Saccharomyces cerevisiae S288C: one gene and its partners. The protein of the gene in region 1 interacts with the protein of each later gene in a biochemical or structural test. Each region holds a gene or a part of one and is shown on either strand. Other genes may lie near its edges.

What was found. Proteins that work in one complex are often made in the same cells at the same time.
Region 2: of the proteins of UBR1 (region 1) and CHK1, one has a biochemical effect on the other in vitro, tested with the Saccharomyces cerevisiae proteins (3 studies listed by BioGRID).
Region 3: of the proteins of UBR1 (region 1) and GND1, one has a biochemical effect on the other in vitro, tested with the Saccharomyces cerevisiae proteins (one study listed by BioGRID).

Annotation. Positions count from the first base shown.
Region 1 is NC_001139.9:858,749-868,389, reverse strand, and holds UBR1 (E3 ubiquitin-protein ligase UBR1), read left to right. Parts: upstream 1-2,636; coding exon 2,637-8,489; downstream 8,490-9,641. Other genes in the region: transcription factor IIF subunit TFG1, read right to left, coding at 1-616; tyrosine--tRNA ligase TYS1, read left to right, coding at 870-2,054; QCR9 (ubiquinol--cytochrome-c reductase subunit 9), read left to right, coding at 8,914-8,916, 9,130-9,327. UniProt on the Saccharomyces cerevisiae protein: Ubiquitin ligase protein which is a component of the N-end rule pathway. Recognizes and binds to proteins bearing specific N-terminal residues that are destabilizing according to the N-end rule, leading to their ubiquitination and subsequent degradation.
Region 2 is NC_001134.8:746,848-751,677, forward strand, and holds CHK1 (serine/threonine protein kinase CHK1), read left to right. Parts: upstream 1-2,746; coding exon 2,747-4,330; downstream 4,331-4,830. Other genes in the region: HSM3 (Hsm3p), read right to left, coding at 1-956; UBX7 (Ubx7p), read right to left, coding at 1,214-2,524; DNA-binding protein RIF1, read right to left, coding at 4,509-4,830. UniProt on the Saccharomyces cerevisiae protein: Serine/threonine-protein kinase which is required for checkpoint-mediated cell cycle arrest and activation of DNA repair in response to the presence of DNA damage or unreplicated DNA.
Region 3 is NC_001140.6:468,439-472,929, reverse strand, and holds GND1 (phosphogluconate dehydrogenase (decarboxylating) GND1), read right to left. Parts: upstream 1,971-4,491; coding exon 501-1,970; downstream 1-500. Other genes in the region: SSP1 (Ssp1p), read right to left, coding at 1-186; RGD3 (Rgd3p), read right to left, coding at 2,354-4,491. UniProt on the Saccharomyces cerevisiae protein: Catalyzes the oxidative decarboxylation of 6-phosphogluconate to ribulose 5-phosphate and CO(2), with concomitant reduction of NADP to NADPH.

The sequences.
Region 1 (9,641 bases):
CTGAATCAACAGTAGGTGTCTGAGACCCATCTTTAACAGTATTATTGAGCGAGACCGTTCCTGATTTATTCATACCACCCGAGTTAGGAGTACTTCTTTCTTGCTCTGCTTTTTTTTTATACTCAGAAATTTCTTTTTGCCTTTGAACAATTTCTGCTCTTGTTAGCTGAAACTGCAAGTTTCTCGTATCCTTCCTATGCAGTCTTACGGGAAGATGGAAGTCTGTTACAGGGTTTATCTTTTTTTTACTCTGAAACTTCAAAAGATGTGTCCTCATGTTTTCTAAATCCTCCTTTGGAATAGCTCTTAAGGGAAATTCATTATATTCATTAGGATCTTCGTCCTTTACTTTAACATTGCTCCTGCCAGCATCGGCCTCGACACCGATTTGCAAAAGCATTTTCTCTCTCTCTTCAGCATACTCAGGATCATCCTTTTTGACAAGAGATCCCCTGCTGTTGTCTCCATTTGGTACGCCTGGGGAACTAGAATTGCTGCCGTTTTGACCCATTCTCATCCTCAGGAAATTTCTTCTCATTCTGTCTCTTTTAATGAAGGGAGAGGCATTCGTCGGACCTCCCCCGTTTCTACTGCCTGGTGGATTGCGTCTGGACATCCTTGCGCTTACTCGAATAGGCCTCCCTAGCTATTCTTCAACCTTTCGAACCATCCATACTTCTTACTATCATAATTTTTATTTTATCATGGAGGCGAGAAGGTCCTTATTCGAGCATCACTAAGAACGGAACTCGAACATTTACAAAGTAGAAAAATTTTATGAAAATTAATTGTTCTTTCTTCAGAATACAAATTAGTCATTGTCAAAAAGAGATTAGCATCCATAACCGCATACTCTAATTGACGATAACATGTCCTCTGCTGCCACGGTTGACCCTAATGAGGCGTTCGGTCTCATTACCAAGAACTTGCAAGAAGTCTTGAACCCACAAATCATCAAAGATGTTCTCGAAGTACAAAAGAGACATTTGAAATTATACTGGGGTACCGCGCCCACTGGAAGACCTCATTGTGGTTATTTTGTTCCTATGACCAAGCTTGCTGATTTCTTGAAAGCAGGTTGTGAAGTGACTGTTCTTTTAGCAGACTTGCACGCCTTTTTGGACAACATGAAGGCGCCATTGGAAGTGGTGAACTATAGGGCCAAATACTATGAATTGACCATCAAAGCTATCTTGAGAAGCATCAATGTTCCAATTGAAAAGCTAAAATTTGTTGTTGGCTCTTCTTACCAGCTAACTCCAGACTATACCATGGATATCTTTAGATTATCCAACATTGTTTCACAAAACGATGCTAAAAGGGCAGGCGCTGATGTTGTCAAGCAAGTCGCCAATCCATTATTGAGTGGGCTTATCTATCCTTTAATGCAAGCGTTGGACGAACAATTCTTAGATGTTGATTGCCAATTTGGTGGTGTCGACCAGAGAAAAATTTTTGTCTTAGCGGAAGAAAATTTACCAAGTTTGGGCTACAAGAAAAGAGCACATTTAATGAACCCTATGGTTCCAGGTTTGGCTCAAGGTGGTAAAATGTCTGCCTCTGATCCGAATTCAAAAATCGACCTTTTGGAAGAACCAAAGCAAGTTAAGAAAAAGATCAATAGTGCATTTTGTAGCCCCGGTAACGTCGAAGAGAATGGTTTACTGTCATTTGTCCAATATGTCATTGCACCAATCCAAGAATTGAAGTTTGGTACAAATCACTTCGAATTCTTCATTGATAGACCAGAAAAGTTCGGTGGTCCAATTACCTACAAATCCTTCGAAGAAATGAAATTGGCTTTTAAAGAAGAAAAATTGTCCCCACCTGATCTAAAAATTGGTGTTGCTGACGCTATCAACGAGCTATTGGAGCCAATCAGACAAGAATTTGCCAACAACAAGGAATTTCAAGAGGCCTCCGAAAAGGGTTATCCAGTTGCCACACCACAAAAGTCGAAAAAGGCTAAGAAACCAAAGAATAAGGGTACTAAGTACCCAGGCGCTACTAAGACCAACGAGATTGCCACGAAACTAGAGGAAACCAAATTGTAAGCATAGCTTAATCCGTTTTCACGATTCATAATATAATAAATAAGAAAAGATATATCATATAAACGTTATAAAATTAATAACCGGGTAAGTGTAGAAAAGTGATGCGACGGTTTATTTTCTCTTCCTCTTGCGATTGAATTTAACTTGCAGATAGTGACCATAAGGCAACTACCCAGTGGCAAACAGTTTTGATAACGCCCAGTACATCAACGAGCGAGTATAAAGACTTTGGTACATTTTAAAAAGGAAACATATATTGTTTTCATTGCTAGACCCTTTTAGTCTCACCTCAATAAAACTGCTTTATTCCTCATTGGGCTTTTTATTCTTTAATTTTGCATACTTATAGCGTGAAACTGGGCATTTAACAAAAGCAAACTATTTTAATAGTAGCATCCTGCTTTCTTTGCCCCTCCTTCTTATTGCGATACATTATTAAGTTTTTTTACCACCTTTCTTCCTTTTTCTTCGCATCTTCGGACAAAGGCAGTTGAAGTTTACTGTATCCTATTAGTTGACTATTTTCTCTCACTGAAGTCCCTAATCTTTACAGGTCACACAAATTACATAGAACATTCCAATATGTCCGTTGCTGATGATGATTTAGGATCTTTACAAGGTCACATTAGGAGAACACTGAGGTCTATTCATAACCTCCCCTATTTTAGGTATACGAGAGGTCCTACTGAAAGGGCTGACATGAGCAGAGCCCTTAAAGAGTTCATTTACAGATATCTATACTTTGTCATTTCTAACAGCGGAGAGAACTTACCTACTTTATTCAATGCTCATCCAAAACAAAAATTATCTAACCCAGAGCTTACTGTTTTTCCTGACAGTTTAGAAGATGCTGTGGATATTGATAAGATAACATCTCAACAAACTATTCCGTTTTATAAGATAGATGAATCCAGAATAGGAGACGTCCATAAACATACCGGAAGAAATTGTGGGAGGAAATTCAAAATAGGGGAACCCTTGTATAGGTGTCATGAGTGTGGTTGCGATGATACTTGTGTGCTTTGTATTCATTGTTTTAATCCAAAAGATCATGTGAATCATCATGTTTGTACCGATATATGTACTGAATTCACTAGTGGAATTTGTGACTGTGGAGATGAAGAAGCTTGGAATTCTCCACTTCATTGCAAAGCTGAAGAACAAGAAAACGATATATCGGAAGATCCCGCCACAAATGCCGACATAAAGGAAGAAGATGTATGGAATGATTCAGTGAATATAGCATTAGTGGAGTTGGTTCTTGCAGAAGTGTTTGACTATTTTATCGATGTTTTTAACCAGAATATCGAACCTCTACCCACAATACAGAAAGATATCACTATCAAATTAAGAGAGATGACACAACAGGGAAAAATGTATGAAAGAGCGCAGTTTTTAAACGATTTAAAATATGAAAACGATTATATGTTTGACGGAACAACAACAGCAAAGACGAGCCCCTCTAATAGCCCTGAGGCATCTCCATCGCTTGCGAAAATCGATCCCGAAAATTACACGGTAATAATATATAACGATGAATATCATAACTATTCGCAGGCTACGACTGCCTTGAGACAGGGGGTTCCAGATAACGTACACATTGATCTATTAACATCCAGGATTGACGGAGAAGGTCGAGCAATGTTGAAATGTTCACAAGATTTATCATCTGTCTTAGGTGGTTTTTTTGCTGTTCAAACGAATGGATTAAGTGCCACTTTAACATCGTGGTCAGAATATCTTCATCAAGAAACATGCAAGTATATCATCCTTTGGATTACACACTGTTTAAACATACCAAACTCCTCCTTCCAAACCACTTTTAGGAACATGATGGGTAAAACCCTGTGTTCAGAATACTTAAATGCAACAGAATGTCGTGATATGACACCGGTGGTGGAGAAATATTTCAGCAACAAGTTCGATAAGAATGATCCCTACAGATACATCGATTTATCTATCCTTGCAGATGGCAATCAAATTCCTTTGGGTCATCACAAAATTCTACCCGAATCAAGCACCCATTCACTTTCACCATTGATAAATGATGTAGAAACTCCAACATCAAGAACATATTCTAATACAAGATTACAACATATTCTTTATTTTGATAACAGATATTGGAAAAGACTGAGAAAAGATATTCAGAATGTGATCATTCCAACGTTGGCCTCTTCAAATTTATACAAGCCCATTTTCTGTCAACAGGTAGTCGAAATATTCAACCACATCACAAGATCTGTGGCATATATGGATAGAGAACCTCAGCTAACAGCTATAAGAGAGTGTGTCGTACAGTTATTTACATGCCCTACGAATGCCAAAAATATTTTCGAAAACCAAAGTTTTTTGGATATTGTGTGGTCAATTATAGACATTTTTAAGGAGTTTTGTAAGGTGGAAGGTGGTGTATTGATCTGGCAGAGAGTTCAAAAAAGCAATTTAACAAAGAGTTACAGTATATCATTCAAGCAAGGGTTGTATACAGTTGAAACTTTATTGAGTAAGGTACATGATCCTAATATTCCATTGAGACCTAAGGAAATAATATCTCTATTAACTCTTTGCAAGCTCTTCAATGGAGCGTGGAAGATAAAGCGTAAAGAAGGTGAACATGTTCTTCACGAAGATCAAAATTTCATCTCCTATTTAGAATATACCACCTCCATTTACAGTATTATTCAAACAGCGGAAAAAGTTAGCGAAAAATCAAAAGATTCCATTGATTCAAAGCTTTTTTTAAATGCAATAAGAATTATCAGTTCATTTCTAGGCAATAGATCACTAACATACAAGTTAATATATGATTCTCATGAAGTCATTAAGTTTAGCGTAAGCCACGAAAGAGTTGCATTTATGAATCCTTTACAAACAATGCTTTCATTCCTTATCGAAAAAGTGTCTTTAAAGGATGCATACGAAGCGTTAGAAGACTGTTCAGATTTTCTGAAAATATCGGATTTCTCTTTGAGATCAGTTGTATTGTGCTCTCAAATTGACGTCGGGTTTTGGGTAAGAAATGGTATGTCTGTGTTACATCAAGCATCGTATTATAAAAACAATCCCGAATTAGGTTCCTATTCCAGAGATATACATTTGAATCAGTTAGCTATCCTTTGGGAACGTGATGACATTCCGAGAATAATATACAATATTCTTGATAGATGGGAATTACTAGACTGGTTTACAGGTGAAGTTGACTATCAACACACTGTCTATGAGGATAAAATTTCATTCATCATTCAACAATTCATTGCCTTTATTTATCAAATATTGACCGAAAGACAATATTTTAAAACTTTCTCTTCTCTAAAGGATAGAAGAATGGATCAAATCAAAAATTCAATCATTTATAACCTTTACATGAAACCCCTTTCGTATTCAAAGCTACTAAGATCAGTTCCTGACTACCTAACTGAAGATACTACCGAGTTTGACGAAGCACTTGAAGAAGTCTCTGTTTTCGTTGAGCCTAAGGGCTTGGCCGACAATGGTGTTTTTAAATTAAAAGCAAGCTTGTATGCAAAGGTTGATCCGTTAAAGTTGCTGAATTTGGAAAACGAATTCGAAAGTAGTGCAACTATTATTAAATCACATTTGGCTAAGGATAAGGATGAAATAGCAAAAGTTGTACTAATACCCCAAGTCTCAATAAAACAGTTAGATAAAGACGCTCTCAATCTGGGTGCTTTTACAAGGAATACGGTATTTGCCAAAGTGGTCTATAAACTACTCCAGGTATGTCTGGATATGGAGGATAGCACTTTCCTGAATGAGCTACTACATTTAGTTCATGGTATATTCAGGGATGATGAATTGATAAATGGTAAGGACTCTATACCAGAAGCTTATTTGTCAAAGCCTATATGTAATTTACTCTTGAGCATAGCCAATGCTAAATCAGACGTATTTTCCGAGAGTATTGTCCGTAAAGCCGACTATTTGTTAGAGAAGATGATAATGAAAAAACCAAATGAACTTTTTGAGTCATTAATTGCCAGTTTTGGCAACCAATACGTTAATGATTATAAGGATAAGAAACTACGCCAAGGAGTTAACTTACAAGAGACAGAGAAGGAACGAAAAAGAAGATTGGCCAAGAAACATCAAGCAAGGCTTCTAGCCAAGTTTAACAATCAACAAACGAAATTCATGAAAGAACATGAGTCTGAATTTGATGAGCAGGATAACGATGTTGACATGGTCGGTGAAAAAGTATATGAATCGGAGGATTTTACCTGCGCACTATGTCAAGATTCCAGTTCGACCGATTTTTTTGTGATACCTGCGTACCATGATCATTCCCCGATATTTAGACCTGGTAATATTTTTAACCCAAATGAATTTATGCCCATGTGGGATGGTTTCTACAACGATGATGAAAAACAAGCTTATATTGACGATGATGTTTTAGAGGCTTTGAAGGAAAACGGTAGTTGTGGATCTAGGAAAGTATTTGTATCCTGTAATCATCACATTCATCATAACTGCTTCAAGAGGTACGTTCAAAAAAAGAGATTTTCATCAAACGCGTTTATATGTCCTTTATGCCAAACATTTTCGAATTGTACTTTACCTCTTTGTCAAACCTCAAAGGCAAATACTGGTTTGTCGCTAGATATGTTTTTGGAATCAGAACTTTCTTTGGATACATTGTCAAGGCTCTTCAAACCTTTTACTGAGGAAAATTATCGTACAATAAACTCTATATTTTCGTTGATGATATCTCAGTGTCAAGGTTTTGATAAAGCGGTAAGAAAGCGGGCCAACTTTTCGCATAAGGACGTTTCTTTAATATTAAGTGTGCACTGGGCAAATACCATTTCAATGTTAGAAATTGCTTCTAGGTTAGAAAAGCCATACAGTATTTCATTTTTCAGAAGCAGGGAACAGAAATACAAAACTTTAAAAAATATATTAGTCTGCATTATGCTGTTCACCTTTGTCATAGGCAAGCCAAGTATGGAGTTTGAACCGTACCCGCAGCAGCCCGATACTGTTTGGAACCAAAATCAACTCTTCCAATATATTGTTCGAAGCGCTTTATTTTCTCCAGTTTCACTTCGTCAGACTGTTACAGAGGCGTTAACAACGTTCTCTAGACAGTTTCTAAGAGATTTTCTTCAGGGTCTTTCTGATGCAGAACAGGTTACCAAATTGTATGCTAAAGCGTCCAAAATTGGGGATGTTCTTAAAGTAAGTGAGCAGATGCTCTTCGCCCTAAGGACCATATCTGATGTACGAATGGAGGGATTGGACTCCGAAAGTATTATTTATGATCTAGCTTATACCTTCCTGTTGAAGAGTCTTCTTCCTACGATAAGAAGGTGCTTAGTCTTTATCAAAGTGCTACACGAATTAGTGAAAGATTCTGAAAATGAAACGCTGGTCATCAACGGTCATGAGGTTGAAGAAGAACTGGAATTCGAAGATACCGCCGAGTTTGTCAATAAGGCATTGAAAATGATTACTGAAAAAGAATCCTTAGTCGATCTTTTGACAACGCAGGAGTCCATTGTATCGCATCCATATTTGGAGAACATCCCATATGAATATTGTGGGATTATAAAACTGATAGATTTATCAAAATATTTGAATACTTACGTTACCCAATCTAAGGAAATCAAGCTACGTGAAGAGCGTTCTCAGCATATGAAGAATGCGGATAATCGATTAGATTTCAAAATATGTTTGACATGTGGTGTCAAAGTGCATTTAAGAGCGGACCGCCATGAAATGACCAAGCATTTGAATAAAAATTGTTTTAAACCATTTGGCGCCTTCCTGATGCCCAATTCAAGTGAAGTTTGTCTCCATTTGACACAGCCTCCTTCTAATATTTTTATATCTGCACCATATCTAAATTCGCATGGTGAAGTTGGTAGAAATGCCATGAGAAGAGGTGATTTAACCACCTTGAATTTGAAAAGATATGAGCACTTAAACAGATTATGGATTAACAATGAAATTCCAGGTTATATTAGTAGAGTAATGGGTGACGAATTTCGAGTGACTATACTTTCCAATGGTTTCTTGTTTGCATTTAATAGAGAACCAAGGCCAAGAAGAATACCTCCAACAGATGAAGATGATGAAGATATGGAAGAGGGAGAAGACGGGTTTTTTACGGAGGGAAATGACGAAATGGATGTTGATGATGAAACTGGACAGGCCGCCAACTTATTTGGGGTTGGCGCAGAAGGTATTGCTGGTGGCGGAGTACGTGATTTTTTCCAATTCTTCGAAAACTTTAGGAACACTCTACAACCGCAGGGAAATGGCGATGATGATGCACCTCAGAATCCCCCACCAATATTGCAGTTCTTAGGACCTCAATTTGATGGAGCTACTATCATAAGAAATACAAATCCAAGAAACCTCGATGAGGATGACTCTGATGATAATGATGACTCTGATGAGCGAGAGATTTGGTAGATTCAAGCCCTCTACTATGTTTTATAGTTGACATATTTGTATATAAAAACTTATACATTATTAAACATTTGCGCGTCGATTGACTTTTATTTATTATTAACAAAGAAGTAATACCAACCTAATTACAAATACTTCGAAGTGACTATCATAAGTTTCCTTATCTAGCGAAGGCAACTTTTGAACTCCCCAGTTGTTAATATGTATCATTATACACGACCCAATCAAACGCGGGGAAGTCAATGCCGAAAGAATTCTAGGACCTAAAAGCTGCTCAATCCTTGGGCCTTTCCCTAATGACATCCCCTCTCAAACTTTAGCTTAGCAGTTGTATTTAATGTCCTGTCACGGATAGTCAATAATCGTTGAAGGTTGATTTTCATATCCTTCGCAATTTCGTAAAGCAACAATAGCAATACGGACTAAAATGGTATGTTGGTGTGTGTGTGTGCTGCTTCACATTTCAGGCTAAAAATGTTATCCGTGGAATCTTCCTTAGCCAAGTATCATGGGCTTTGGAAATTAGTTTCCCACCGATGAGCGCAACGACTTAGCGAAGCTTATGAAATTGGTGACAGCAGCTCTATGAATATGTTCCATGCGTTTCCATTCAGGTTACTAACAATGCATAAATTATGAGTAGTCTTTTTCATCACTATATAAAACCTTTTTCAAACGAAACGCTGTTTTTGTTGGTACTATCTTTGCAGGTGCCTTTGTTTTCCAAACTGTATTTGATACTGCTATTACTTCATGGTACGAGAATCACAACAAAGGAAAATTATGGAAAGATGTCAAGGCTCGAATAGCTGCAGGCGATGGAGACGACGATGATGAGTAAACGCTGATTATGTCACACATATACGTGCAAACGCTCTCTCTCTCTCTCAAGCTATATAAGTGGCACTCGTCTTATTTATTATTTTTTTATTTTGGCTGGTTGTTCATGTTCAACCCAACCTCATAAAGGCACTCAACTTCATATTTTGACACAAATCTATGTCTCGCCAAAGCGCATTCAAATTTCAGAATGGAAATAGACACGAACGAGCCTGTCTGTCAGATGTTCACAAAATCCTTATTATAATTTTATATTCTACTAAAGGAAAAAGAGAATTAGGAAAAAGAATAACTCATTTTATGTATATACATATA
Region 2 (4,830 bases), on another chromosome or scaffold:
TCGGACCCAATTTTTAAAGAATCTTTGTCCATAGTCTTGAATAAAGAATATTCATCTTCCTCAATTCGTGACACCTCTGCGAATAACTGTAAAAGACAATTTGTAGAAAAGGCCCTGACATCAGGATAGTTCTCCGTGTCTTCAAAAAGTTGAGCAAATACTGGCAGTATTTTTTTTACATGTCTTAAAGCCCAGTATTTATCTTGATTTCGTATTTCCAGCAAAAACTTAGTATAATAATTAACCAATTCGATGAAAACGAGGATATCTTCAACGGATTTCAGTATCTCTTCTTTAGTAAAGCAAAATATGATATCCTTGAACTCAGGACCGCTGATGAATTGAAACTCAATAGTCAAGAAGTCAATTAATCTGACAAAAGAAACCGTTTCCATTCTACCCTTTACGCTCACCAGGTATGGCAAATTATTATCAAATAATCGACGCCTAATCAATTCATCTGTACTCAACCTTTCCAACGCTTTTTCGATTGCTGTAATGAGCTTATCATTCTCCACTTTCTCATCAAATAGAATATCCAATAGAATATCGATGATATTACTGGTCGCGAATAAACCCTTTGGCTGCGAATTCTCAATGACTCTACATGCTGCTACTTTTAATGGATCTATTTCTGACCTAAGGGCCTTCACTAAGTCCTCCGCGCTATAAACTTCTAGAACATCGTCAAAATCAGCCATGGGAACAAGCTTGTCCACAACGTCCAAAAGGTAATCGTAATTCAATGAATCATAGGATACGTTAGACGTCAGAAAACGCTTGATCGTAGCCAGTAGTGGTTTAACATCCATATCTGGAAGGGAGACAACAGTCACAAGATTCAAAGAACATTTCCTTAATAGTGTGTTGATATCTTCAGGCAAGTTATCTTCATTAAGTTCATTTTCTAATTGCGTAAGGAGATTTTCCACGTAATTTGTTTCTTTCTCACTCATTGCTCCTGTTTCGCTGAGTTCTTTTGCGGTGATTATAGTTGTAAACTTGTTTTATTTTTAATCCCGTAATTAAGGTGTTTATATAAACTTACTCTTCAATTTTTCTATATGCATTTGAAACAGAAAAAAAGATATAAAAATACCAGCTATAACAAAAATCCATGTAAATAAAATTACTGTATATTTTTTTATGTAATCTAATCAAAAAAAATTCACGTCTAATACTAGTCATAAATGGAGTTGAAGCCATTAACTACTTATTTTTTATCTTCGTCCTTTTTCTTTTCTAAATGGACATTATTACCATTAAAGGTTGTTGGGTCTTCAGGATCTTCTTGATGATCGTTGTTAACAAATTGGAAAACATTTGGCGAGACAGAACGTGACGTAGTAAGGTTGGTTTCCGATGGGTACCTGGTTCCGCTAGGTGTCAGCATTGGTGATGCATGAGCAGATGATTGAACTGGTTCCCGAACATTGTTGTATTGGAAACAGCTTGACGAAGCAGCTCCAGATAAAGGTGTTGAAGACCTCACTTCGTGACGATTCGGCTTCGATGTTTCCTCACGTTGTGATGTTACTTCAGGATCTTTATCGTTGTGCCACCACGTAGAGAATCCCTTATAAAGACGGCCCAAAAGGCTTGGTCCCTCCATCCCAGTCACAGATAGCCCCGAGTTTTGAGTTTCTAGTGGTTTAAGTAATAATGCAGACCTTGGAGTTAGTTCTAGTGTCTCTAGCGTCTTCAATTCATCAGAATCCTTAAATGTCACTCTGGGAATGCCCCTGTGGAATGAGTACGGGCAGTCTCCATCTGTCCTGTTGACGTCCACCCATTTTCTAACGTCATTTAATGTTTCAGACGAGTTGAACTCATGTTTTAGAGTCTTGCCATCAGTCATCCTGATTTGCAAGACGCATTTGCTGCTGTGCAGTTTTTGTGCGTCTTTTATGTAATCATGAACATCCAATGGCTTATCATCATCAAGGGTTCTGTGATGAGTTTCATCAAGAGCTTTTCTTTCTGCACGGTCTGCCCTAACAAGTCTTATAATTCTTTCTCTTTCCTCCTCAGCCAGCTTTCTTTGTTTCAGTTGTTCACGACGTTGGATCTCTAAGGTAGTCTCAGCAATCCGTTCTCTTGCATTTTTCCTATGGACGTCTCTGGATGACTTTTCTTCTCTAGCCAAACCTGGATTGGTTTCCCTGGACGAACTCTCACCAGCCTTTTTGTCTTTGATGCCTATGCACGCCAGCAACTTCTCCCAATGTCGGTCATCCTCGCCTTGAATAATCAATTCTATCTTTCCAGCACGTATCAAGTATATACTGGGTACAACTACATTAGGAAATACTTGCTCAAATAACTGGAACTGCTCAGTGTCTTTGACCAACCTCAACCAAATACTATGTTCCGCTAAAGTATCTAATGAGACATCATCTCCTTTAAACCAACTTTTCAGCCACTGGTCATCCCGTGCAGTGTTGTAAACGGCCAGCACAACGCCTTCCTTGATGGAATCGTTTATTGCTTCTTCCACAGAATCTCTAAACAGTGCTTCTAACATTTGGTTACGGCTGTTTGGTTTAGCTATCCTTGCTTCTTTGTAAGTGCTTTCAACCTCAACCCAGCTCCCTTTTAAATTTTCAACATTACTACGAGGCCTGCCGAAGTTAATAAAGAGCGGCTTTAAATGTCATTTTAATAATTGAATGGCAAATAAAAACAACTACAGCTTCAAACATAAGAGTATATCATAAGTTGCTGTATATGGGCAGCACGTATTACTATGAGTCTCTCGCAGGTGTCACCTTTACCCCATATCAAGGATGTTGTTTTAGGAGATACAGTAGGCCAAGGCGCATTCGCCTGCGTTAAAAATGCTCATCTTCAAATGGATCCCTCCATTATTCTAGCTGTTAAATTCATTCATGTTCCCACTTGCAAAAAAATGGGACTCAGTGACAAGGATATCACAAAAGAGGTTGTTTTGCAATCGAAGTGTTCTAAGCATCCTAATGTTTTGAGACTTATCGATTGTAATGTCTCTAAAGAATATATGTGGATAATTCTGGAGATGGCAGATGGTGGTGATCTATTTGATAAGATTGAGCCTGACGTTGGAGTTGATTCCGACGTGGCCCAATTTTACTTTCAACAGCTCGTTAGTGCTATTAATTATCTGCATGTAGAATGTGGAGTTGCTCACAGAGACATCAAGCCTGAAAACATCTTACTCGATAAGAACGGAAATCTGAAGCTAGCTGATTTTGGGCTCGCCTCTCAATTTAGGAGGAAAGATGGTACATTACGTGTATCCATGGATCAAAGGGGTTCTCCACCCTACATGGCTCCTGAAGTATTATATTCTGAAGAGGGTTATTACGCAGATCGAACAGATATATGGTCTATTGGCATCCTCTTGTTCGTATTGTTGACTGGTCAAACGCCTTGGGAATTACCTTCATTAGAGAACGAAGATTTCGTCTTTTTTATTGAAAATGATGGAAATTTAAACTGGGGACCCTGGTCAAAGATAGAATTTACTCACTTGAACCTACTCCGAAAAATTTTACAACCTGACCCAAATAAGAGGGTGACATTGAAGGCTTTAAAGTTACATCCTTGGGTATTACGTCGAGCTTCATTTTCTGGGGATGATGGTCTCTGTAATGACCCTGAACTCTTGGCTAAGAAACTGTTTTCTCACTTAAAAGTCTCACTGAGTAACGAAAATTATTTGAAATTCACTCAAGATACAAACTCTAATAATAGGTACATTTCTACTCAGCCAATTGGTAACGAATTGGCTGAGCTTGAACACGACTCAATGCATTTCCAGACAGTTTCGAATACACAACGTGCATTTACCTCGTATGATTCAAATACGAACTATAATAGCGGAACAGGTATGACACAAGAGGCTAAGTGGACGCAATTCATAAGCTATGATATCGCTGCCTTACAGTTTCATTCTGATGAAAATGATTGTAATGAATTAGTAAAACGACATTTACAATTTAATCCGAATAAACTTACCAAGTTCTACACGTTGCAACCTATGGATGTTTTGTTACCGATTTTGGAGAAAGCCTTGAATTTATCACAAATTAGAGTAAAACCCGACCTTTTTGCGAATTTTGAAAGATTGTGCGAATTATTGGGTTATGATAACGTTTTCCCACTTATTATAAATATTAAAACCAAAAGTAATGGGGGTTATCAATTATGCGGTAGCATTTCCATCATAAAGATTGAAGAAGAGTTGAAAAGTGTCGGATTTGAAAGAAAAACTGGTGATCCTTTAGAATGGAGAAGATTGTTCAAGAAAATTTCAACTATCTGTAGGGATATTATCCTAATTCCCAACTGAAAAAAATGGAGACAAAAGAAGGGTTAAGATGCACTGATCAAAAAAAAAAAAAAATTCTTTCTACTTATTATATATCTCTCTCGATTTCTAGTGTGTCATCGTAACTATATATTGTTTCGAGAGATTTTATTATTGTAATTAATTTATTGCCATTTTGATCTATTCTACATACTAACAATCAATTCATATCATTATCCCTGTTTGAGTAATATTCGAGCCTCATCATAAAATCTAATAATTCAATTCTCAAGTTTCTTCTTTCTTCCACAGATATTCCGTTCAAGTCGCCCGGTGTGAACCCTCTCAATCTGGCCACTAACCTTCTCGACTTTTTTGAAAAAAAGTGCACTTTTAATGAAGGTGTGGCTTCCCTAGATGTAGCATCTTCGTTACCATCTCCCCCCAACAAAGGTTCGCCATCTGCTTCTGTGTGGGCTTGGCCTAATTGAATTTCATGGTGTTTTTCTTTTCCACCAATTGTTTTTGGTACGGTGTCTAAG
Region 3 (4,491 bases), on another chromosome or scaffold:
ATAAAAATTCTTGTTAAATATTTCAGGAACATCCTCCTCTCCTTGGTGGTTGTTATTTTTCCCATTTTGTAACCACCTGCGCATTCTTTCCCTAAATTTGGTAGGCTTTTTCTGCTTCGACTGCTTTGGGGAAGTTGAGGTTATTTCCCCAGAAGGATCATTCTCATATGTGCCAGAGCTTCTCATTGTTGCTAGCTTTTCTACTCTACTTCTATCATGATAATAGGCACTATTGTGAAATTTTTCACTTTTATTTTATTTTCTGACTTCATGATTTTGTGTCGCCTGTTTGCCTTTCCTTACGTAAAAAAAAAAAAAGAAATGGAGATAGTTTCGGGACCCCGTTTATAAACCTTTAATATTTTAGAAAACACATAACTTCATATACTATTTATAATTGCATTTGGATTTATTTATCTATTTATTATTATGATTACTTTTACTATAACTAATCTATTTCATTAAATTTTTTTGGTTTATGTCCAGGTTGGAGATTTCCTTTAAGCTTGGTATGTAGAGGAAGAAACATTACCACCGTGGCCAGTCCAGTTGATATGGATATCCTTGTCTACTGGCAAGTTGTCAGAAGCACATTCTGGCAACACTCTGAAAGTGTGAGCACCAAAGTAGTCACGTTGAGCTTGTAGTAAGTTGGCTGGCAATCTTTCAGATCTGTACCCATCGTAGAAAGACAAAGCGGTGGAAAAGGCTGGTGTTGGGATACCGTAGGTGGTAGCCAACGCAATTGACTTTCTCCAACCAGATTGAGCCTTGGTGACGGCATCAGCGAAGAACTTGTTGAACAACAAGTTTTCCAAATCTGGTTCTTCTCTGTAGGCCTTTGTGATTTGACCCAAGAAAACAGATCTAATGATACAACCACCTCTCCACATCAAAGCGATGGCAGGGTTGTTTAGTTTCCAGCCATAAGTAGCAGCAGCTTCACGGATCAACATGAAACCTTGAGCGTAAGAAATAATCTTGGAAGCATACAAAGCTTGTTCCAAATCATCGACAAATTGTTCTCTGTCCTTGACGGCGTCTTTTGGAACTTCTGGGCCTGGTAAGACCTTGGAGGCTCTAATTCTCTCGTTCTTCAAAGCAGATAGACAACGGGCAAAGACAGCTTCACCAATCAAAGTAACTGGCATACCCAAATCCAAGGCGTTGATGGCAGTCCACTTACCAGTACCCTTTTGACCAGCAGTATCCATGATTTTTTCAACTAATGGCTTACCGTCGACGTCGTCGAATTTCAAAATATCTCTGGTAATTTCGACCAAGAAGGAATCCAAGACACCATTGTTCCATTTGGCAAAAACGTCACTGATTTCCTTATCGGTAAACCCACCCAATCTCTTCATGATGTCATAAGCTTCACAAATCAATTGCATATCACCGTATTCAATACCGTTGTGAACCATCTTGACGTAGTGACCAGCACCGGCTGGGCCAACCCATTCGCAACATGGTTCACCGTCGGATTTAGCAGAGATGGATTGGAAGATGTTCTTAATATGTGGCCAAGCTTCTTCAGAACCACCTGGCATCAAAGATGGACCGTAACGGGCACCTTCCTCACCACCGGAGACACCAGAACCAACGAAAAGAATACCCTTCTTCTTCAATTCTTCGTAACGTCTATTAGAATCTGGGAAGTGAGAGTTACCACCATCGATGATAATATCACCCTTTTCCAAAAGTGGGACGATTTGGTTGATCAAAGCGTCAACTGGAGCACCAGCTTTAACCAAAAGCATGACCTTTCTAGGTCTCTTCAATTTGGAGATGAAATCTTCAATGGAAGTAGCACCGATGATAGATTTGCCCTTAGCTTCATTGGCCAAGAAATGGTCGACCTTGGATTGAGTTCTGTTGTAAGCACAAACAGTGAAACCGTGGTCAGCAGCGTTCAAGATCAAATTTTGACCCATGACGGCCAAACCAATCAAACCGAAATCAGCAGACATTTTATTGTAGTTTTTGTATAGAAAGTGGCTTTTTTCTGTAATGGCAACAATACAGGTTTATATGTATCAGGCTATTTACTTTATTATGTAAGAAAGGACCCCACTAAGAAAAAAGGAAACCTTTGAAAAAGAAACAAGCTCAGGAACAATACTGCAGCTTTTAACGAACATCAGGCCCATTTATATAATACAGCCTCGAAGCCCACCAAGGCCAAAGCGCAAGGCCGCGTGGACCACCAGGACGAAGCACCGCGTAACACCGAGGCACCGTAATGTAACACCGACAGCCACAATAGGTACAAAAGCAGCACAACCTCGAGGCGGGACGAAAGAACAGAGAGGTAGCAGGTGATTTACGTAGTTACTATGTAGCATGCATGGAGTTATGTAGAAGGGACATCGTTGACGTTGATGGGAAGGAATAAACCACTCTTACGTTTAGGTCTCTCTGGGGTTGTCGGAGTAGAACTAGTCTTGAATGGCCGAGGTATGAAATGGCCATCCTTGTCGTTTGGCGGTGGCTTAGGGGTAGAGTGTATAGGTGCCGTTGTATCCTTTATAATTATCGTCGGCGGTTCAGTGAGTGTCGCAGTAGTTGCCGTCGTGATCCTGTTTGCGATCAACGTTTGCAAAGTTTCTACAGTTCTTTCGTTGATGAAAAATGTAGATAATGTTGGTGACAAGATTTTGATGTCGATAGGGTTCTGTAAGCCTGTTCTTCTTACGAAGTGATGGGCCAATGGTATGTCTATGTCACTGTTGTCTCTAAACAAATCTTGTATTGTTTGCGGCGGAAGTGAGTATTTGCTATTGATCAATTGAAAATGGTTTGCTAGTTCTTGTAGAAACCTTAAGGAGCTCGTCGGAAACTGTTCACATAGGGATGTTAGCGATTTTTCGGCCTTAATTAAGTCATCGTAGTGGTTTGAAGGTATTAGGCTGTCGGGTAGCTCTAACAGCCATAATTTTATCAGTCCGACGAGATCATTAGTGACATAGCTGTGCGAGTTTTCAAAAAAATGAGCAGTGATTATAGAGTTTGTATTTTCGGTAGTTTTCGATCCTTTGAATTCCCCCAATAAGTCTCTTTTCAAATTAGAAACCCTTACAAAATCAATATCCCTGTGCCAACTTTGTATGACTTTATTAGCATTTGGTTCCTTTTCAATCTGCCGCAGTATAATCTTTATTGCCCCTAACGTATCAAGAGCAGCCAGTTCATTATTTATTTCACTACCACAGAAAAACTTTTCGCTTTTTATGGAGATTTCTTTGCAAGCGTCGACTGGATCACTCGCTTCTAGGATATTCCACCTGCGAAAGGGTATGCCATTATCCCTGAGGAAAAACCCTCTTACATCCGCATTGGCAGTTTCCTGTGGCAGTTGTGCTTCTTGTAGAGAACACACAGGTGAGTCAGTAAATTTTTCACATTTTTGTTGAAACATCATGTTTGATGATTCTAGAGCTCGTTTGATTCCGTCCTCCATTTTAGAGTAATTTTTACAATAATCATAAATGGTTTTTTCCAACTGCACTTTAGAATATTCCAACTGGCAACACTTGGAGAAAAAAATATCTTGTGATGATTCAAGTTGCTGTTTTAAACTCTTCCACTCATTTTTATTCATATCTGTACTTCCCGCTGCATCGCAATCATCATTATCATGTTGACTAACTTTGCGGATCCAATCGGATATAGATGTTTTGATAGATGAAACGTTGGACTTTTCTTCGTGTTCATTGTCGGAGTGTGTTAACTCACCATACGATTTTTTTTTTCTGTTTCCAGCATTACCATTACTCTCTTGCGTAGCAAGGACTTCACTGTTCCAGTAATAGTATTTTTCCTGGTCAAACTGAGAAACTTTGCTAGAGTAAAAACTCAGGGAATATTCTTGTATTATACCCAGTTGGATGAATTCGTTACCTATCCTATCGATATTAAATAAGGACAGGTTTAGTCTGGGTTCAAGTTTTTTCAATTCTTTGATCAATGACCTGCCTTGGAAACTTTGATTTGACAATCCTGGAACGGAAAAGACACTTTTCTCCAGGATGACTTTTCCCTTCAAGGTTTGCAAAAATGACATAAATTGGTCGCAATCCTCAAATTTTAACCTCTCGTCTAAAGTGTAAGGAAACTCGCATACGAAGTTCAACCTGGTTAACGGTGCACTATCCTTTCCATTATCAAAAACAGAGGAAGAATTTTCCACTGGCGTATTGGCTTTTTTCAATTTATATATAGACTGAACTCTTTTCTCACATCCAATTAGTGCCTCTTTAGCTGCGACTAAATCCTTAATGTAAGCTGAATAACGAGATGACAAATCGTTTTCTGCCTCACGAAGGAAGCTCTCATTAAGATCTCTTAGTTCTTGCAATGGAATTTTACAATCTCTTTCAACTTGCTCTGTTGATATTATATTAAACTGTTTGCTCATCACTTCCAGCAGCCTGCTATTCATTGAATTGGTTGCTTCCATTTTTTGTAAATTGTTCAATGTTGGTTTCCAAA